Linked DNA regions of Notamacropus eugenii. The protein of the gene in region 1 interacts with the protein of each later gene in a pairwise test. Links are inferred from orthologs where the notes say so. Each region holds a gene or a part of one and is shown on either strand. Other genes may lie near its edges.

The links.
Region 2: the proteins of TXN2 (region 1) and SCYL3 interact in binary tests that used the Homo sapiens proteins (3 or more experiments, as listed by UniProt). The two-hybrid records come from large-scale screens. The link is inferred for Notamacropus eugenii from reciprocal best matches to the Homo sapiens genes TXN2 and SCYL3.
Region 3: the proteins of TXN2 (region 1) and PPCDC interact in binary tests that used the Homo sapiens proteins (3 or more experiments, as listed by UniProt). The two-hybrid records come from large-scale screens. The link is inferred for Notamacropus eugenii from reciprocal best matches to the Homo sapiens genes TXN2 and PPCDC.

The regions. Positions count from the first base shown.
Region 1 is NC_092874.1:293,519,938-293,523,683, reverse strand, and holds the start of TXN2 (thioredoxin, mitochondrial), read left to right. Parts: upstream 1-935; 5' UTR 936-1,221; intron 1,222-3,746.
Region 2 is NC_092873.1:476,487,182-476,490,927, forward strand, and holds the start of SCYL3 (protein-associating with the carboxyl-terminal domain of ezrin), read left to right. Parts: upstream 1-1,235; 5' UTR 1,236-1,320; coding exon 1,321-1,560; intron 1,561-1,581; exon of another isoform or gene 1,582-1,650; intron 1,651-1,807; exon of another isoform or gene 1,808-1,935; intron 1,936-3,746. UniProt on the Homo sapiens protein: May play a role in regulating cell adhesion/migration complexes in migrating cells.
Region 3 is NC_092872.1:240,978,325-240,982,070, forward strand, and holds the start of PPCDC (phosphopantothenoylcysteine decarboxylase), read right to left. Parts: upstream 2,568-3,746; 5' UTR 1,752-2,567; coding exon 1,687-1,751; exon of another isoform or gene 1,274-1,686; intron 1,256-1,273; exon of another isoform or gene 993-1,255; intron 1-992. UniProt on the Homo sapiens protein: Catalyzes the decarboxylation of the cysteine moiety of 4-phosphopantothenoylcysteine to form 4'-phosphopantotheine and this reaction forms part of the biosynthesis of coenzyme A.

The DNA.
Region 1 (3,746 bases):
GCCTGCACAAGTTTTCTGAAGAGATCAAGAAAGACCTCCTGAAGAGGTAGGATTGGAGCTGAGTCTGGAAGGAGTCCAGAGATTCTAGGAGGCAGAGAATGTTCCAGGTAGGAACAACAGCCTGGGCAAAGGCTCCGAGAGGGGAGATGGGAGTGCCCTACGTGACAGTTGGCACTTGCTCACTCAGCTCCTGGAATTTTCTCTGGCGGTGCCCCATGGCTGGGCCTCTTCCCTCCTCCCTTCCAACTGCTGATCTCTCTGGCTTACCTTCAAGTCCCAGCTAAAGTCCCACCTGCTTAAACGGAGCCTTCCTCAGGCTCTTCGTCCAGGGCTTTCCTTCTATGCATCATCTCACATGGATCCTGTCTGTAGCGTGTTTATACTGATTTGTTCGCTAGTTTTCTCCCCCCCCCTCCCCAGTAGACTGGGAGCTCCTGCCGGGCGGGGGCTCTCTTTGGCCCCTTTTTTGTAGCCCCAGAGCTCAGCACAGTGCCTGGCTTAATCAATGGCTATTGATTAATTGGTTGACGTCAGCGGGGTGGCTCAAGACCAGAGGGCACTGACTGGGACGGGGGCAAGCTGGGGGGCTTTAATGGCCAACTCTAAGCCCCAGGTTTTCCTGGGGTGGGGGGTCTGGGGTAGATGCGCCCCCTGGGGCGCTGGAGACTCACCGTCCCATTTTGCAGATGGGGAAACTAAGGCTCAGGGAGGGAGAGGGTGCCGTCAAGGGCCAAGCCGGCCCCACCCCCTCCTGCGAGTTAGTTCTTCGTTCTAGAAGAGGACCGTGACATCAAGACCACCCCATCACGTGACAGATGGGAAGACTGGGACCACCCAGAATGACCCGGGGCACCAGGGAGGAGCCGGCGGCTGGTCACGCCCGCGGGGCGTTAACGTACCCTCGCTCGCTAGCTCCACCCACTTCCGTCTCTAACGGCTAGCGCCACTTCCTACGTGGTGCGCATGCGGCGCCTTGCCCCGCCCCCTCCTTTCGCGCCGTCCTCCTTTCCCCTCCCCTCTCTGGGGAAAGCGGGAGGCAGCTGCAGGAAGTGACGCAAGCCCGACCCCGGAACGGAAGTGACGTTCGCCGTGCCCTTGACGGGCGGGCAGGGCCAGGCCGGGCCGGGCCGCTGGGGGCGGAGGCGGAGGCAGACTGGAGGGTAGGGCGGCCCGGGGGCGTCCGCTCGCTCTAGCTCGTGGTCGCGCTCGCGCCGCAGGGAGGTAGGAGGCGCGCGTGGGGAAGCCCCGGGTTGGGCGGCGGGCGGCGGGCGGCGGCCAGCTTCCTCCCGGGTCCGCCCGCCCTGGCGGCCCCCTCCCCTCCCCGGGCCCCACGTTCCGCCCCGGAACTCTGGTTCCCCGGTCCTCAGGGTCACGCTGTCCCTGCTCACGCGCCTGCCGTGATTCCCCTACCCGCCCTCCGGACCCGGGTGCAAACTCCTGAGCTCGGCATTCAAGGCCGTGCCTGGTCCGGCCCCTGCTTGCACTCCCGGTAACCTGCAGGCTTCGCTTCCGTGCCTTCCACGTGCCGGGCCCTGAGCTGGACCCCGGGGGTGGCCAGTCAATCAGCCCTTAAACGTTTGTTGTTTAAAAAATAGCCCCCGGACTGCAGTGACCCTTACTCTCTTCCGTGCTCTATATTTGCGGCCAAATGCCCATCTCCTCCCTCCGTGCTTTTGCCTAAGCCGTCCCCCCAAACCTTCACGCTTTACTTCCTGATCTCTGCCCCTTAGAACCCTTCCTTAGGAGCCCCCTAACACAAGAAGCCTTTCCTAGCCTGGTTCCATCACCACACAGTGTTCACCTCCTCAAATTTCCTGCCTGTTGACCATGGTCCCCCCCAGTAGAATGAAAGCATCCTTATGGGTGATTTGCATGTAGTAAATGCCCTGTATCTGGCCAAGTCATGTCTCTTTGGGCCTCAGTTTCCACATCTGTAAAAAAGAGAGGGTGGAACCGTGTGACCTCAATCAAGTTTTCGCTCCTATAGTAATTGTAATAGTTTGCATTTATACGGCCCTTTAAGGTTGGCACACAACTTTCCATATTATCTCATTTGATCTGATCTTGCATAACAGGAGTTCTTAATTCTTTTTGTTCTGGACTCTTTGGCCTACAGACCTCTTCTCAGAATTGTGTTTTTAAATAAGGTACTTAGGATTACCAAGGAAACCAATTTTATTGCAATAGTTATAGAATTAAAATTTTTAAAAAGTTCACCAGCCCTTGGTTAGTTTCACCTGCCCTATAGGGGTGCCTTCATACAGTTAGAGGTCAAGGGACCTTAGAAACCTGATGGAATCTTCAGCTTCAGCTTTCCTAGCCCATCCCTCCATCCACTAAATGACTTGCCTCAGAAGGAAGAGCCAGGATTTACACATGGTTCTCAAGCTCTCCTTGTGTTGGAGATAGAAGATTTGTGTTCAAATCTCCTGTAACTTGTGTGACTGAGGGCCATATCTAGCTATTTTAGCCTCTGAAATGTCTCCCATCTGACCCCTTCTCACACCCCTTAATTCAAGCCTTCATCACCTCTGGCCTGCAGACTTCTAACTGGTCTGCCTGCCTCCGGTCTCACCTCTCCAGTTCATCCTACACACAGCTGCCAAAGTAACTTTTCTTAAGCGTCATTCTGACCATGATTCCCTCCTCAGCCCTCTGGGATCTTTATTGCCTCTAAGAGAGAATATAAACCCTTTAGCTTCTAAATCCCAGTGAAACTTGGTCCCAGCCTATCTTTCCTGTCTCATTTGTTATTGTGGGTAGTGCAGGATTGGAGTTGGGAAAACACTAATTAGCTGTGTGATACTGGCCATCACTTACCTCTGTTTGCCTCTGTTTACCTCAGTTTGCTTAACTGTAGAATGAGAGTGATAATTAGAGCACCTCCCTCCCAGGGTTATTGTGAGGATCAAATGAGGTAACACATTAGGTGTTTTATGTAAAGAACCTTAAAGTACTATAGACTTGCCAGCGCCCTTGGCTTGGCCTTCTCTCTGTCACATCTCCTTCCCTGCCTTTGCATGGGCCTGCCTAGAATGCATGCTTTCCTTTTCTCCCCACCTCAGCCTCCCTCTCCTTTGAGGACCAAGTTCAAGCAGCATCTTCTGCAGGAAGCCTTTCCTCCTCTCTCAGCTGCTGGTGCCCTCCTCCCCACCTTACTCTGTATTTAACTACTCTATATATTTGTTTCTATTAACTTTGTTTCTGTCCTGTGTGTGTTTTTCTGTTACTTGTGTTCCCCCTTAGAATGTAAATTCCTTGCACATCTTCCTGTTCTTCTCCCCTAGTGAGGTCTGACATGTAGTGAGTACTTAATAAATACTTGTGGATCTGGTGATTATCTGCCTCAGGTCATGTCTTTTCCCCATCTGGGCTTCAGTGCCCTTGGCCGTACAAAAGGAGGTTGGAATAGACGATCCCTGAAGGCCCTTTCCAGCTCCGGCATCTCAGGATCTCCTCATACTGTTCTAGAGCACTTTGTGTACATTTCTCCTCTGTCCAGATAGGATGTTTGCCTTCTCTGCCATTTATTGTTGACTCTTGCACCCTCCCAGCAGACTAAGCTCCTCCAAGGAAGCTGCTGGGTGTGTTGTCTCTTTGTATCTAGGCCCAGCAGAGCTGACACACAGGAGCCACTGGCAAATCTCTGGGCTTTTGGAGTTGAGCTCTCCCTCTCCTCCATCTCCTTTCCCAGAAATCCTTCTGGCCCCCGCATTCTACAGATAAGGAAAGTTTGCCCAAAGTCA
Region 2 (3,746 bases), on another chromosome or scaffold:
GAGAAGGGAGGGGGGGAGGAGGGAGGAGGGAGAAGGGAGGGGGGGAGGAGGGAGGGAGGAGGAGGGAGAAGGGAGGGGGGAGGAGGGAGGAGGGAGAAGGGAGGGGGGAGGAGGGAGGAGGGAGGAGGGAGAAGGGAGGGGGGAGGAGGGAGGGGAAAGGGAGGAGGGAGGAGGGAGAAGGGGGGAGGAGGGAGAAGGGGGGGAGGAGGGAGGAGGGAGAAGAGAGGGGGGGAGGAGGAAGGGGAGAGGGAGGAGGGAGAAGAGAGGCGGGGAGGAGGGAGGGGAGAGGGAGGAGGGGGGAGGGGGGCACCTCAGCGGACCGAGAAGGAGAAAACAAGCGGCCGGGCGTTTACGGAACCAAGGTTCGGCCTGAAGAAACCGAGCTCCATTTCTTACACTACCCAGAAAAGTCATTCAAAACCAAAGCCGTGTGAAACCGGAGCGGGCGGTGCCGGTCTGCTGGCTGGGCGACGGGTCGAGCGCCTCGGTGGCGGGACATTCACGTAGCGCGAAGACCAGATGGCACCGGACCCCGAGTCTGAAGCGACGGAGCCCGGGGGGGTGGGGGTGGAGGGCGCGTCCACCTGTGGCCCTAAGGCCAAGGCGTCCCCTGTCCCCGGGTCCCTGAGGGGCCTCTGCCCAACCAAGGGTCGCAAAGCTGGGGGAGCAGAGTCCGGTCGTGGTTCGATTTCAATTCAAATTCAACGACTTCTGTTGCATAAAGCCAGGCAGCTTCGTTCTCACGGCCCCCCCTCGGCCGTGGCCAGGGTTCCCCGAGCACCGGAAGCCGCGGGCCCGGCTGCGCAGGCTGGGGCGGACCCGGGAGCCGCCGGGGACCTGACGGTCACGGGTTCTGCCCTCGGCCCCAAGGGCGCTCCTCCGGGGACTTTCGGAAATGGCTTTTTTGTTCCGGACAGGTGAACGTGCGCTGGCCGGAGTCACGTCCGGGCCGCTCACCTTCGGGGGGCTCAGTCTCCGTCTCTGTAAAAGTCAATGGACCGAGCGCAGAAGCGCGCGCGGGCGGGGCCGGGACCGGGGAGCCCAGGCCCCCTTGGCGGGGATAAGGGCCCGCCTGGGCGGGGGAGTGGGCGTGCGAGAGGGGCCGGACCAGGCCGGACCAGTCCTCGGGCAAGGAAGGGCCCACGTTCGTCCGGCCGAGACCCCGCAGCGTGGGGCTTCCAGGCGACTCGGGACTTTAAAAATGGATTCACTGTATTTATTTGAATCTATCCAGTATCTAGAAAAGGCCTGGGAACCTAACTTACTACCGAGGGGCGGGGGAGCAGAGGCCTCGCCCTCAGGTCCGGGCTCACCTGTCGAATGCTCCGCCTGGCCAGGTCCGGCGGAACTCGCGCTGCTAGGAATCGCCTACGAAAGTCTGCCCGAACCCATCATGGCGGCCAAAGCATCAGTCCTTCGCCAGGGAAACTTGAGTCCCGGCAGAGGAACCAATCGGAGTGCAGGAGATGCGCGGCGCACCGCCCCCTTCCCGTACGACGTGAAACGGAGTGGCCGGGCAGCCATTTTGGATTCGGGCGGAAGTGGAACCCGAGCTCGGTGGTAAGGCTTAGAAGTACTAGAAGGAAAAGCTTCCCGAGATAGCTTTTGGGGCGGAGGCCTGACCAAGAGTGACTGTCTCCGCCGGCTACGGTGAGGGACAGCGCTCGGCGCCACGGTCCGAGGGCTGGCGCCGCTCTAGTGCGGTCCCGGGCGCAGCCGCCTCTCTGGTGGAGTCGGAGGGACGGAGGCTGGCGTTCTGTCCCGTTTCCGGGGGCGTCTCTATGGTGTCGGCTGGACCGAACCCCGGTCAGTGGGCGCAGGGGCCGCAGCCTGGCGGGGCCGGGAGAAGGTCAGGGGTCATAGGGGTCGCTGGTAGTGAAGCGGATCCCGCCCGGAGCCGACACCCTCCGCTTCTCGGCGCTGCCGCCCTCGCAGGTGAGAGGCCTGCCCTCCGCCGCCTCTGGGAGTGCAGGTCGGGGTCTGGGGGCCGCCCGGGCCGAGCCGGAGCGCGTGCCCCGGAGGCTCGGGGCGCGCGTGACGGGCCCGGGTCGGCTGTCGGGGTCCGGGCCAGGCGGGCGCCCGCAGGCTAGTGCTCCGCCGGGCGGGCGGGTCCGAAAGTTGGTGCGCGGTCATCGCGGGTCCGGGCCCCGCCGGGCGCCCCCTCGCCGGTCCGCAGTCTTTTCTGCCGGGCCGTCTGGGGGGAGGGGGAGTGTTCGTAAAAGGAGAAAGAGCGAGGGCATGGAGGTCCGCGTGCCCAGCCCGCCCGGCCTTTCCCGAAACCCGGGGGCAGGCGGTGCGGGGAGCGCGCCGTGGGAAAGTTGGGGCCGAAGTGGCCTTCGCCCCCTGGACAAGGACGTGGCAAAGGAGTCCCCCGGCCTGCGTAGGCAGCGCCGGCCTGTGCCCGGCGGGCCGCACCAGCCGCGGACCCCGAGTCCGTGCCCGGGGTGGGGCCGTAGGTGGAGCGGACACGTGGTTGACAGGACCGTGACGTCCGGTAAAAGCGTTCTCTTGTACTCCTGCCGCGCTCGGAGCCCTCCCACCTGTGACTTGGGCTCAAGCGTCTCCCTAAGAGTTCGTCTGCGCCCCTGCCTCTGCTTCAGCCCAGGCCGTCTGGTCAGGTCCGCCCGGCGCTGCCCAGAGAGCTGACCCTGCTGGGACCGCGGCCCGCACAGAGCAGCTGGAACTCGGGTTTCTGCTTCAGGACAAGATTCCAGAATTCGTGTAGCCCTTCAGGGTTGGCACGGTGCTGTGTCCTTACAGCAGTCCTGGGAAGGAGGGGTTAACGTTACCCTCGTCTTACGGATGAGGAAGCTGAGGCCCGTGAGGCCAGGCAGAATTTAAGTCCTGGTCTCCCGAGTCCCGGTGCGGCGCTCAGTAGGGTGCCGGAATCGTTGTCGAGTTTGTTTCCTTGGTTGTCACGGGCGTCCTCCCCGCTTGTCAGTTTCACGGCGGGTTGTTACTGAGGCCAAGCATGGAAACGTAAAATCTGATCTTTGGAGGGAGCTGGTCTGCCTGCCTGCCTTTGAGCTAGTAAACTTCGTTGTGTTTGCTTTCCTTTCTGGAACAGCGAGAGAACTCTGAAGTCTCAAGGGAATTTGCCTAGATCTAGTCAGTAACCTTGCCCTTTACCCTCTCATACCCTGAACCCGGATGGCGCAGTTTTCGTTAACATCATCCAGACATCTCTCTAGACGGATACTTGTAGTATGCAAAGGATTGCAATCATTGATTTTAGATATTTGTAGATAACGTAGCTGGTTTTTTTCCAACTATGGTAACAAATAGTTTTCTTTGAAAACAGTATTCACAACTAGCTATAGAAAAGATTCCTCTTAGCATCACCTGAGCTAGGATGTTTTCCTCAGACTACTGACATTAATGCTGGTGGACCTGGCAAAATGAGTGTGGCTCTTGCTATCAGGCAGTGAGCTCCAGGAAATGTTTGTTGATTGATTAGCATCTGGTCCTGTCACCTATCAGATTTTCCTTAGAGCATGTGTGAATCCATCATTTGGACATTCCCTTAATTGGTATAGAGGAAACTGTCTGCCCCTGTTCTCTAAGTTGTACGCACAGGGGGAGGTGCTTCCCTCTTTAATGGCCTTCTTTACTAAGCTTCTCGGTAATTCCTTATTTTTAACGTTTTGCAGCCTTCATATACCTCTCCTTTGACATTTTAGCAATATTCATTTTCATTCTCATGTCTCTCACAACCATAGAATAGAATAGAAGAATATTAGTATTAA
Region 3 (3,746 bases), on another chromosome or scaffold:
CTTCTGAAAAAAGGGTCAAGATGCCTGGTTTTGAGTTCTGGCTCTAACATTTACTAAGTCAGACTCAGAGACTATCAAATCTGGATAAGACCTTCGAGATGAGTCACCCTCTCTGAACCTGTTTCCTGATCCATCAAATGGGAGTAATGAGGCCTACCCTGTGTACCTTACCAGAGACATATGGATCAAATGAAATAACATTGTATATAAGTTACCTGCTTTGTAAGATATAAAGTGTTACATGAATGTTTAGATGTTACTGTTACTGTACCAAAAGCCAGTGTCTGTTATGATATCTCTTCATACTTCCTGGCAGGGATAGCATCTGGCCTCAGAGAAGGGGGTAAGCATGAGAGTACCTGGCTGGAAAGGGGCATAGAAGCGTAGTTTTTGATAAGGAGAAGGTAATAGATTTGACTTAAATGACCTCTGGAGATTGCTATGAACAACAAAAGGTCAAAAAAAGAAAATAGATGATGCCTCCCAGTGGACAACCAGAGACAACAGGTGTCCTGGGCTTCAGATATTCCTTTCTGCAAGGAAATGATCAGGAGATCCAGAAATTCCAAAGGTGCAGTATCCTTCCTTAAGCCAACAATCTGTCTTAGAGAAGCCCATTGGACACACAAAAATGTTTTTGAATCAAAACTACTTCCTAAATGAGTCACTCTATGACTCACTGGTATGTAAGCTACTCCACATACATCTAGAAATATGCATGGAGGTGGCCTACTCTCACAGCAGGAAATCCTGGACCACCTCATTGGCCAATAAAAGTTAAGGCCAAGCAAATGATGTATTTCTTAAAAAGTCAGTCTAACCCTTTAAGCCACTGAGTGAGGGTGACTCCCAACTGGAGACTGTCTGAATCTTATCCTGCTGAACAGTGTAACACATTATGAGTATGTAAATATTACATTTATAAATGTACATAATTTAAGAACATATTTTTAATGATTCTGCTCTCCACATCACAAGCTTCGGATACTCACCACCTGGGTGACCCTGCTTAAGCAAGTCCCTTAACCTCTCCTTTTCTTCATCTATATAAAATGAGAAGGTTGAACTTAAATCAATTTTAAAGTCACTTTCTAACATCAGGTCTATGAGGGGCAGGTATGCCACTGAAGACTTGAAGTTTCAGTGACAATAACAGTATGAACGTTAATTTTCAGGATTTGCATAAGATACATAAATGCCTTACCCCAGCAGCCTAATAGGGCAGTTAGCAAGTTTTTGCTATCTAGCCTAGTCTAGTGGAAAGGGAACTTACCTGACTTGGAATTAGAGGTCCCGGGTATGAAGCTGAGCTCTTATACACAATATCTGTGATTTGACTTCCAGTGATTCATAACTGACATTTATATAGACTAAGTATAAGTAAACAGTTTGACAGTACAGGACATTTCCGTTTTGATTTCATATCTCCCAGCTCCTCAGTAGTGCTTGGCACACAGTACGAATTTAGTAAAAGTTGAATTATTTCACTTGAATCTCACATCTGAGACAGATACTCAGGTATTGGGGAAACTGAGACACAGAAAAGTTAGAGATTTATTTGTCCATGGTCCCACTGCTACTAAATGTGGTTGGATATGAATCCAGGCTTCCTAATATCAAACCCAGGGATCTTTCCACTTTTCCAGGTGTAATGTTAAAGATCTTCTCTCCATTAAAAAGCCTCACCTGAAGCCAATTAAGGGAAGCTGTTTGTTCAGTGAGGCACTGGGTCCCAAGGGTTGTGATGCCATCTGGCTCTGAAAAGTGTATACATACTCCAAGATGAGGTTTTGCTTTAGGGGCTTGAAAGAAGGTTCATGTGCTTGATGACTATGGGTAGCAGCTAGGGAGCCTCCAGGCTTTGAAAACCCATATGTTGGTGCTTCTCTCTTCTCTCTCTGGTAACCATATATGTATGTATGGTCAGACAGTTGGATCTGTCTGTTGATCTGTGATGTCTGTTGGTCTTTATTTTTCTGCTTGTATTTTTTCTGTTGGTGAATGTAATTAAAGTAGATTGCTGACCCCTCAAAAGTTGCTTTCCTTTTAGAAAAGCAGATCTAAGAACCTGTACAGCAGGCCCTCCTGTATATGTCAGGGTGCTTGCTGCTACACCAGGTCTTAGATTCAGAGAACACACTTAATTTTCCCAAAGTATTTTCCCACATATATTCCCCAATCCCCTAAACCAGAAGTTCCCAGCCTGGGGTATACTTACTCCCAAGGAGGTAGGAGCTTGTCAAGGAAGTAAGGGGAATACTTGGTAAATAGATCGATTTACCAGGCAGTCCAGCCTCAAACCCTTACTAGCAGTGTGATCTTGGGCAAGTCACTTAATTTCTGTATGCCTCAGTTTCCACCTCTGTAAAATGTGCAGAATATTTGAAAGAGTTGTTGTGAGGATCAAATGAGCTAGGATCTTATGATTTCAATGGAGATAATAAATAATAACTAGCATTTTTACAGCTCCAATGAGAATGTCAAGCACCACGCACATGAACCTTCGAGCACTATAATATTGCCCCTTTAAGGTTTGCCAAGTGCTTGGCACATATCTCATTTGATTTGAAATGATTTATATATAGATATAGATATATAGATACACATATTTATATATTATATAATACAAATATATTATTATTTATATATATAATGTGTGTGTATGCACACACATACATGTATAATTTAAAACTGATAATTGATGATACATTCATCTCCGTATCTACGATCCCATGGTTTCAGTGGGATAAGTTAATAATAACTACTGTTTATACATTAAATAAGAGTCCTATATTATTTGTATTCTATATAAACTGAGGCCCGACGGGGCTGCCCAAGGTCACGGAGCGCCCTTGGGTGCGAACTTTCACCCTCTCCTTCCCCCAGGTGGAAATGAAGACCCCTCCCCCCACCGAGGGCTTCCGCTCCCTGGGTGACTCATTTTCCCTCTCCCCCTCCCCCTCCCTCTCCCTTTTTCTCTGCATCTCACTTTCCCCACCTGTTAAATGACTCTGTGATCCCAAAGGCCCCTCCCAGCTGAGATCCTACAACCGCCCCCCAAATCAGACCACCTACGTCCCCCTGCCCCATCAGGAACCAACTCGCTTTAGGCCTCACCCCCGCGCCAGGTACGCCTCCCGTCGGGCCTCCAAATCTCGCGATCCTTCAGTTCCCAAGCCCGTAACCCCAGGCTACTAAACTCGCGAGAGATGTCACAGCCTCATGGGAGTTGTAGTTTATTACTCGGTAGTCAGCCTCAGAATCTCTAGCCTGGGAAAATGTACTGCGCAGGCTCGGACTCCCGAGTCCCTGGGGAGGAATCCACGCCCACCTGGACTTCAAAGCCGGTTTCCTCTTTACACCTTTATAAAGTTCTTGCAATCTGACGGTTGGGGAACTGCAGATTACAACGTGGTTTGCTGATGGTCTTTGACCATTTAATAAGAGTACAAGTCACATGCGCAAATTCATCAGTGACCGCTCTGCCTTTTGTAGATTACTTTCTATCTACTCTGGACACATCTTGCATGTGCCCAGTTATTGACACGTTGTTTTCCCCCATTTGACCGTAAACCCCTTGAGGGCAGGGAATGTTTTTACCTCTCTTTGTATCTCCACTGCTTAGCATTGTGCCAGGCACATAGTAGGAGCTTAATCAATGGTTCTTGACTCGCAAAAGTCTCTCACTTAGCTCTCCTATCTCTGGGCTCCTCCAGTATTTAGGATTCAATACACAGAGTTTAGCA